Linked DNA regions of Drosophila melanogaster. The protein of the gene in region 1 interacts with the protein of each later gene in a pairwise test. Each region holds a gene or a part of one and is shown in the gene's direction. Other genes may lie near its edges.

Evidence for each region.
Region 2: the proteins of Lim3 (region 1) and CG18371 interact in a two-hybrid assay, tested with the Drosophila melanogaster proteins (2 studies listed by BioGRID).

What each region holds. Positions count from the first base shown.
Region 1 is NT_033779.5:19,105,378-19,110,311, reverse strand, and holds the start of Lim3 (Lim3), read left to right. Parts: upstream 1-1,884; 5' UTR 1,885-2,925; intron 2,926-4,036; exon of another isoform or gene 4,037-4,146; 5' UTR 4,147-4,240; coding exon 4,241-4,589; intron 4,590-4,934.
Region 2 is NT_033778.4:14,026,952-14,029,898, forward strand, and holds CG18371 (uncharacterized protein), read left to right. Parts: upstream 1-1,668; 5' UTR 1,669-1,782; coding exon 1,783-2,115; 3' UTR 2,116-2,145; downstream 2,146-2,947.

The sequences.
Region 1 (4,934 bases):
ATGGAGGCATGGCCAAATTCACGGAACTCATCAAAGTCCATGATCCTGGTTAATCCAAAAAAAAAGGCGCGATTTACTTTGGGGGGGAATTTGGGTATTTAGCCGCTCCGCTGGTTCCGCACTTGTTCACCGCTGACATTCGAATCTACAAATGAGCTGGCTGCGCTTTAACCAAGTCTCAATGAGCTCCGAATCTCGAGACCCTCCAATAAAAAGTTTGGGGGGGAACTCCAACAACGTTAACAAAAATCCGGCTATGTGTGAAAATGTGCAGTGGCAGCAAGTTTTTTGTCTTTCTGACTGGCCCATTGCCGAGATTTATGTTTATGTAACTACCAAAAGACACAATAGCGAAAACAAGATCGCCGGACAAAAGTTAAAAATGTCGGTGAAGAAAATTTAAACAAACTGCTTGTTAATTGTCTATTAAAATGTGTTATCCAAACACTAGCACTGCTGCTTACTAAATCTCCGCCATCCCCCCCAAAACCCACTGCCGATCCGGTTCCATATCATCACATCATCAGCAATTAACCGTCCCAAGTCGAGCCCATTTGGCAAAATACTTCATGTGTCTAACCATTAACGGCTCCATTAGACAGACGTCTGCGACAAAAGCGTTGGAAAATTTGAAAGTCAAAGTCGATTTGGTAACCGCGGAAGTGAAGCTCCGCCTGGGATGCCATAGATTGGGATCGCGTTGGATTGAGTGCATCGGTTTCATCAGCCATTTCCATTTCCATTTCCATTCACGATCAGTTTCAGTTTCAGGGTCACGCTGCATTTTTATGCTCTTACCCTATATTTTTTTATAATCGGTACTAGTTGGGTTCAAGGGTATGCCGTGTTTTCGTGTTGTTCCGCACGCGTAACGAAAGCCCAATAAGAAAATGCTGAATGTTTAATAAAGGAAATATGTAATATAGTTTATACAGTTTATAGTTTAGCTTCTGTGTAATAGTATCCAATATATATTACAGGCAAGCTGTAAATGATGATGATACAAAAGTCTTAGTATAAGTATGAAGTAATACATTTTACAGCATAAGATGGAATCATGTTTTTTTCTAATATTTATACGTACTTTGTATCTGGCATTTTATGCAGACTTTCTCAGACCGGGCATACTTTTCGAGCGACCCACGCACTCCAGCTGTTCGCGTTCCTTGCTCCGCCGCAGCGCGGAACCCAACCCACAAACGACCTTCCCTGCTAGTGTCCACTTCGGTGGGTGGGCGGAGGTCATCCGTTGGGAGCGGGGGCGTGGGGTTCTCGAGCATGGCGTTGGGGTTCAAAGTGTTTGGCAAAGTATTTGGCGCGCTCTAAGCGGCTCATAAATAAATGCGAAAACAAAATCGTTTTTGCAGACGCAACGCATTTAAGGGGTTTTCGGGACGGGTGGCAAGTATCCACTATAGATATAGGGGTTCCGAAACTACACAGACAGCGAGAATCCTATGCAGATACAGCGAACTCATGGGCAACGGGTGACTCGGGCATGGAGTAGCAACTTCCCCCCTCTCCCATCACCCTGCCAGCTTTGGGTTTTCGAGTGCGCCGGCGCTGGAACGACATCGAACTCTAGGAATAGAAGCGTATGGCCACCCCAGCCCCATTTTAATGGCGACGCTGGGGCGATAAGATAATGGCCACTGCCTGCGCATGCCTGGAAGTTCTTGTTGCTTTTGGACTCTATCGTCGGCCGATTTCCAGCGATTTTCAATATAAAGGGGCGGTGCCTGTTTTCCAGTGGAGACCCCGCATTTTTGGTGACCGCGCGCCGCGTATTGACTTGGACCTTTGAGTTAAGTTTCTCATATTTGTTTCGCCTCAGTCGACGTCGCTGCTGACTTTTAAGTGCTGTTTACTGTTGTTTTGGGGCCAACGAAGGTGTCGCGCTCGACGTTGGTTGGCTTTTTGTTCTACCCACTGTGCTGTTTTCCTTTTTTCATTTTTTTTTTGCCCCTGCACTTTTGCAGCTCAAGCTTCTTGAGGCAGAGGGAAACAAAAAAAAGTTTCCACACCTTCTTTTTTCGACGAGGCTAAAGTTTTTGCGTTTTACAAATATTGTAATGCTCTTGGAATTTGGACTTTTCGGGCAAATGGGCATCGCCAGAGAGCGACACACACATGCGCACGGCCTCCAAAAAGAAGCACAAAAATGTTGTCGCTGCTGGCGTTGTCGCCTCGCCGCCTTGTTGCCATTGTTGTCCTGCCATTCAGGGCTGGCTGTATGCATTTTACCATATCATTTGTGTCACATTAGGATCAATTGGTAAACACACGCCCGCACACCCGCACACACCCACAGATAGTACGTATACGCACGGCGTACCCATGTGGGCGGCCAAAAGGCAAACGGCAAACGGCACACGAATACAAGACGAAAGGCAAAAAACAAAAAAAAAAAAAAAAAAAAACAACAGCGTTAAAAGCTCGCACAGTCGAGAAAAAGCGTGAAAAAGTGCGCAAAGTAAAAAGGAGAGACGACAGTTTGGACGGCCAAGAAAATAAATAAAGATGCAGCGCGGCAAATAGAGGGGATTCCCACCAGCAACAATACCAGCCGCCTGCCAGTGTTGCCGCGTCCAGGGTTGCCGCCGTACCGTTACCGACACCGTTACCGTTTCCAGACCGTTACCTTACCGTTGGGCAAACACCGTTAGCCATGCCGCCGCCATTTTGTCGCACTGGCTTCGCATTTGCCGTCGTCGTTTTCGCTGCCGAATCCGTTACCGTTACCGTTAAAGTTGCCGATGCCGTCGCCAAAATGGCGTTCGCATAAAATCGCGTTCAAGTGCCGCAGAAAATTCAAACGAAATAATACGAAATGTTGAAATAAGAAAATTAAAAACCAGCCAATAATTAACAAAGTTAACAAATACTAGAGTTGAGTGTTAAAGTGACGCAAAAAATTTTAATAGGGTAAATGCAAATCATTTCCACTGGTTTTACGATTCCGTCGCATAACGAAAGGCTCAATAAAAAGGCTAAAATTCTGAGGAACTATTGAAAAGAAAGCCAGCTTGATTAAAAAATGGAATGTTACATTTTAACAGTAGATCCTTAAAACAAAAAAGTCTATTGAGCAAATTGTGTTGAGAAGAGTTACAAAACCAAGATACGTTTAGGATTTTAAAATGTTTAGTATATGAATTTTAATACTAACACGATTGGATTTTGTTTGTTTTAAGATTTAAGGCAATCAAAATAAGATTAATGTGCGATTTCCAACTCCCGATGTTAGCCATTTTAATTTCAATTTAATCTTAGGAGCTTTGCTCCTAAAATTAAATTTCTATAAAATAAATTTCATAGTATTTTGTTTCATTTATATATGATCTTCAATCTTAACTAGTTTCCAAATACTGAAGAACTATTAAATGGAAATTTCCGATTAATTATTCTACGTTTTAATATTTCACAAAAAATAAATTGTTTACCTATTTTGTTTGTTTGAATTTCTATAAAATAAATTATCTTCAATCTTAACTAGTTTTCAAATACTGATAAACTATTAAATGGATATTTGCTATCAAATATTCTACGTTATAATATTTCACAAAAATTTTTTTTAACTATTTTGTTTGATTTGGGAACCATTAGCAGTTCGTTTTTGATAAAAAAACCTTGGACATTGACCGTTTTTTGATAGATAGTATAGTGCACATCCGATTTGTTGTCTTCGCACGAGAATTCTCCTCGTGATAGACGATGAATAGATATGCGCCAAACGGTCTTTTGAATATCTACCGATCAGTTTGGCCCTATCCTCGGCTTACATAAAGTTTACCCGCCTTGCACTTGGTCGAAAGCACCCGAACAATAGATGGTCTAGTGTGCCCCGGTATCGCAAACAAATTCAAATTGTTCAAGTCCCTGGCTACTTCAACTGATAGAGCAGCCGAGCACTGAGCACGAGCCCAACCGAGTGGCAAGACTGGAATCTAGATTCTACCGTAGAAACCGAAACCCAAAGAGACCGCCGCGATAAGGGAAAAACAGTCAACCGGGCCACTGTTGGGCACAAACCAATGCCAGTTATCGAGCAGACAGCGATCCCGCCTAGCGGAGTCTCGTTTAGACGCTAAACGGGAAACGAGTGCGGTAAACTAACACAAAGATTGCTTTTTAAACACCAAACAGGGCTAAAGATACAAACGTGTGCCAATTGGAATAAGCTAACTGAAATATACATATAACTCATACGACGCGTGTTCAAATCGCCGGCCCCTCAGCAATGATGCAAACCCTGAAACCACCGCCACCGCTACATCATCACCACCAGCATCAGCACCAGCTCCAGCATCCGCCTCAGCAGCAGCCACATCCGCATCAGCAGCTGCAACATCCGTTGCAGCAGCAACAGCACCTGTCAGCCATGGATAATCACCAGCAACATCAGCCGCATATCCATCAGCAGCAGCAGCAGCAGCAACAATTGCCACCCACGCCGCAGGCATCTCACCTGGTCGGTGGGCAGCAACAGCAGCAGCAACATCCGCACCACAATCACCTGGCTGTCGACCAGGATGACCCAAATCCCGAACTGGTGCTCGCCTTAATTTCCAGGAACCGGGCGCTCGAGGGTAAGTGGCCAAGTCATGCCATCTTTGATTCAGTCCTGTCCATCTGAAGGCTGCCTAGGAGATTTTCCTGCACAGTGAACAAAAATGTTTGCCAAGAATAGTATATTATTAAAATGTTTGGTTTTCAAACTTAGATTACATTTTTGAATTTTATTTATCAATTTATCAATTTTTGAAATGAAAGAGAGAATAGTCGTATTTACATTAAAAAATATCGTGGTTTCTTAATTTTGCTTTAGTAAATATTGAGAATACAGTTTTCATGTTAAAACCGTATATTTCACTTCTGCTGTAAGTTAACCCTTTGAATACACTTTGCCCATGTGTTGGCCGCGCCTTAATTAT
Region 2 (2,947 bases), on another chromosome or scaffold:
TGCAAGATCACTCAATTTCTCACAATTTCTCTCTTAGCTGCTGGTGGCTCTCTTTCTCCCACTTCACGCAGTTTGCCTTCGGAGAAGCTGAGTTTTGTTTACCGACTTGCTGTTGTTGTTGTTGTTGCTGCTGTCGCAATTGAAGCGCAGTTTCTGGCAGCAACAGCATGAGCTATAGTATCTATAGATATACCGATACCTATACTTATGCCTACATGTACATACAAACATATATACCCGTTCGTTCGTAGCTCCAACGGCGAGGCATGCGAAGTCCCTTCAAGCGTTTCAACGTACTTTTTTTTTTGCTGCGCTTCGGTTTGTTTGATTTGGCTTGCTCACCTTCGGCTCGACGGCAACAACAACAACAGCAGCAGCAGCAACAACAACAGTATCGAACGGACGTCGACGGAGGCAGCGACGGAACTGCGAATTCGATGGAGACGTCGGTGGCGGTCTCAACCTGAAATCCAACCTGAAACTCGAAACGAACCCGAGGCTCGTGCTGTGTTTCATTTGAATGGGCACACGACGAACGGAGTTCGAGTTGGATTGGCCACAGTGTGCCGGCCAAATTGGAAGCCTTTGGTTCCACTTTGCGAAAACTTTTAAATTCGCTTAACCAAATTGACAGCTTTAGGGCCATTTCAACATACGTACACGTTTGGTTTCTTAAAATGTAGATGGTAAAGGGGGAAAATCTTTTCGGTTGCACGCTAACGTCAGGGTGGAAGAATGAAAAGCAGTTAATTTCTAGAGAATATATCGTATCGTTAATATTTAATAGTCTTCCTTACAAACCTTAGACATAATTGTGAAAAAGTATAATTTATGTAGTCATCGGGAAACCAATTTCTGGAAGCTGTCGGACGAGTACTTGTAACTGTAGTCATTTATCACAGGCATCTTTTGCAAATACCTTGGCTCAAAGGACCTCATTTCCCCATGCTCTCCCTTTTGGTCTCTTTCTGTCTACCCATCCCGCTTGCACTTGATCCTGTGCCTAGGCCATAAATATCGTATTAAATATTTGCCTTAGTATCGCCTGCGATGTCGGCGTTTCGCGTTTGCATTAACGCCGAATGTTGTCTGTTTATCTCGCTAGTTATTGTTCGCGCTGCCCATAGGTGGTGTTTTGCCATTTTCGAGGGGGGTGTTCATGTGTCCATGGGCCATAGGGGAAGGGGAAGGGGGAAGGGGGAAGGAAGGAGGCTTGCTGGCAAGAGGAACAAGGGGGGGGGAGGGTTTCGGCTCTGGTTTGGTGGTTGCAAACTTTTGTGGCATTGCCAGTTGATTGGATTGCCATGAGATGAACTTGGCGTCGCATGTGAATGTGTGCGTGTGTGCGAATGAGTGTGGCAAGTGATTTATGAGTCCCCAGTGCTGATATGGGATACGCTATACGCTATGGATATACAATAGATACAATGTCATTAGCGCTCTCGCCGATACACTGCTCCTTTTTCCAACGTAAACTCCCTATTTCTTTCGTCGATTTTAATTTAAGCACATAATGGCGATATCATTGACACCCAGTAGTTTAACATTTAATTTTAGCAAGTTTTGCTTGTGTTAACATTATTTGGGTTTCACTGTGCTGCAGAGCGCACATTCCGAAAGGAAACACTTAACTGCTTAAGGGAATCTAGGAGCTTGCGACATTCCTGTAACGAACACTGACAAAAATCAACTAAATTTCAACAAGTGGAGTTTCTGTTTCTATCTCTCTCTCGATCGACAATAAGTTGGAGTTATTTCTAGAAAAAACGAAGCATATTGAAGATGATGCAGCCAGCGGAACAGATCTTCTCCTGCGGATTCGAACTCTTCGGGCGAGTACAGGGTGTGTGTTTGCGGAAGCAGACACGAGATCTGGCCACAATGAACCAGGTGCGCGGGTGGGTGATGAACACGGACGAGGGCACGGTGAAGGGACAGCTGGAGGGCACACTGCCCAAGGTCAACGTGCTGAAGTTCTGGCTACTGAATATCGGCAGTCCGCGCTCGATTATCGAGCGGGCGGAATTCACGCCCACCAAGGAGATCACTTCGCACAACTTTAGCCGATTCTCGATTCGCTACCACAATGTGGCAGCAACGAAAAAGGCCATTTAATAAAGAATTTAGACTTGTAGTCTACTACCGAAAATTGGAACTGTGTATTTGCTGTAACTATTTGTTTGGACCTTTAAATTGAGCTGCCTACGAATGGAGCCCAGTTGTGCTTCTGCGAGCATCATTTATAAACCTCTAAAATGAAAAACAGGCTGCTGCCAGCCACTAATTAAGCCGCACAAAGAAATGCTCAGCGCAATTACATGGAGGCTGGCACATCCACTATGTACTTATTTTAATATATGTATCTACAAAGTAAATATATGTACATATGTATATATATATATATGTGAGATGACTTGGTTAGACAGACACCTGCAGCTTCAGCTTCAGCTTCAGTTTTAGCCTCGGCTTGGCCACATTTCCAGTTGAGCGACGCCCCAAACTGGCAATGAGTTTTTACGGCACACAAACAGCAGCCAACAGGCAACAGACAATACTGGCTATAAGGAAAATCTAGAATAACAACAGAGAGCCACAAATATTTATCGCAGTGCGCTGAACAAGAACAGATTGACTATTTGATTGAAGGTGAAAATCTAGTAAGTCGTGACTTCTCAAGGCGGAAGGAAATGCCTTGAAATGCATTTTTGGGTAAATGTTATCTGTTATGAGAATAACGGTAGATATATATATATGAATTATACGTATACATATATGTACGTAATCCGCTGTCTATTCAACGAATGCATTTATTGCATAGGAAGTTAAGATTTCAAGTGTTGGAAAGTTCACTGTACTGTTTCCGAATTTCATTATTGACAGTTACATGTGTTAGCCTGCTGTTAGAAAAGTGCAAGCTGGTTTCTTAAGTAATATACTAAGTAATATT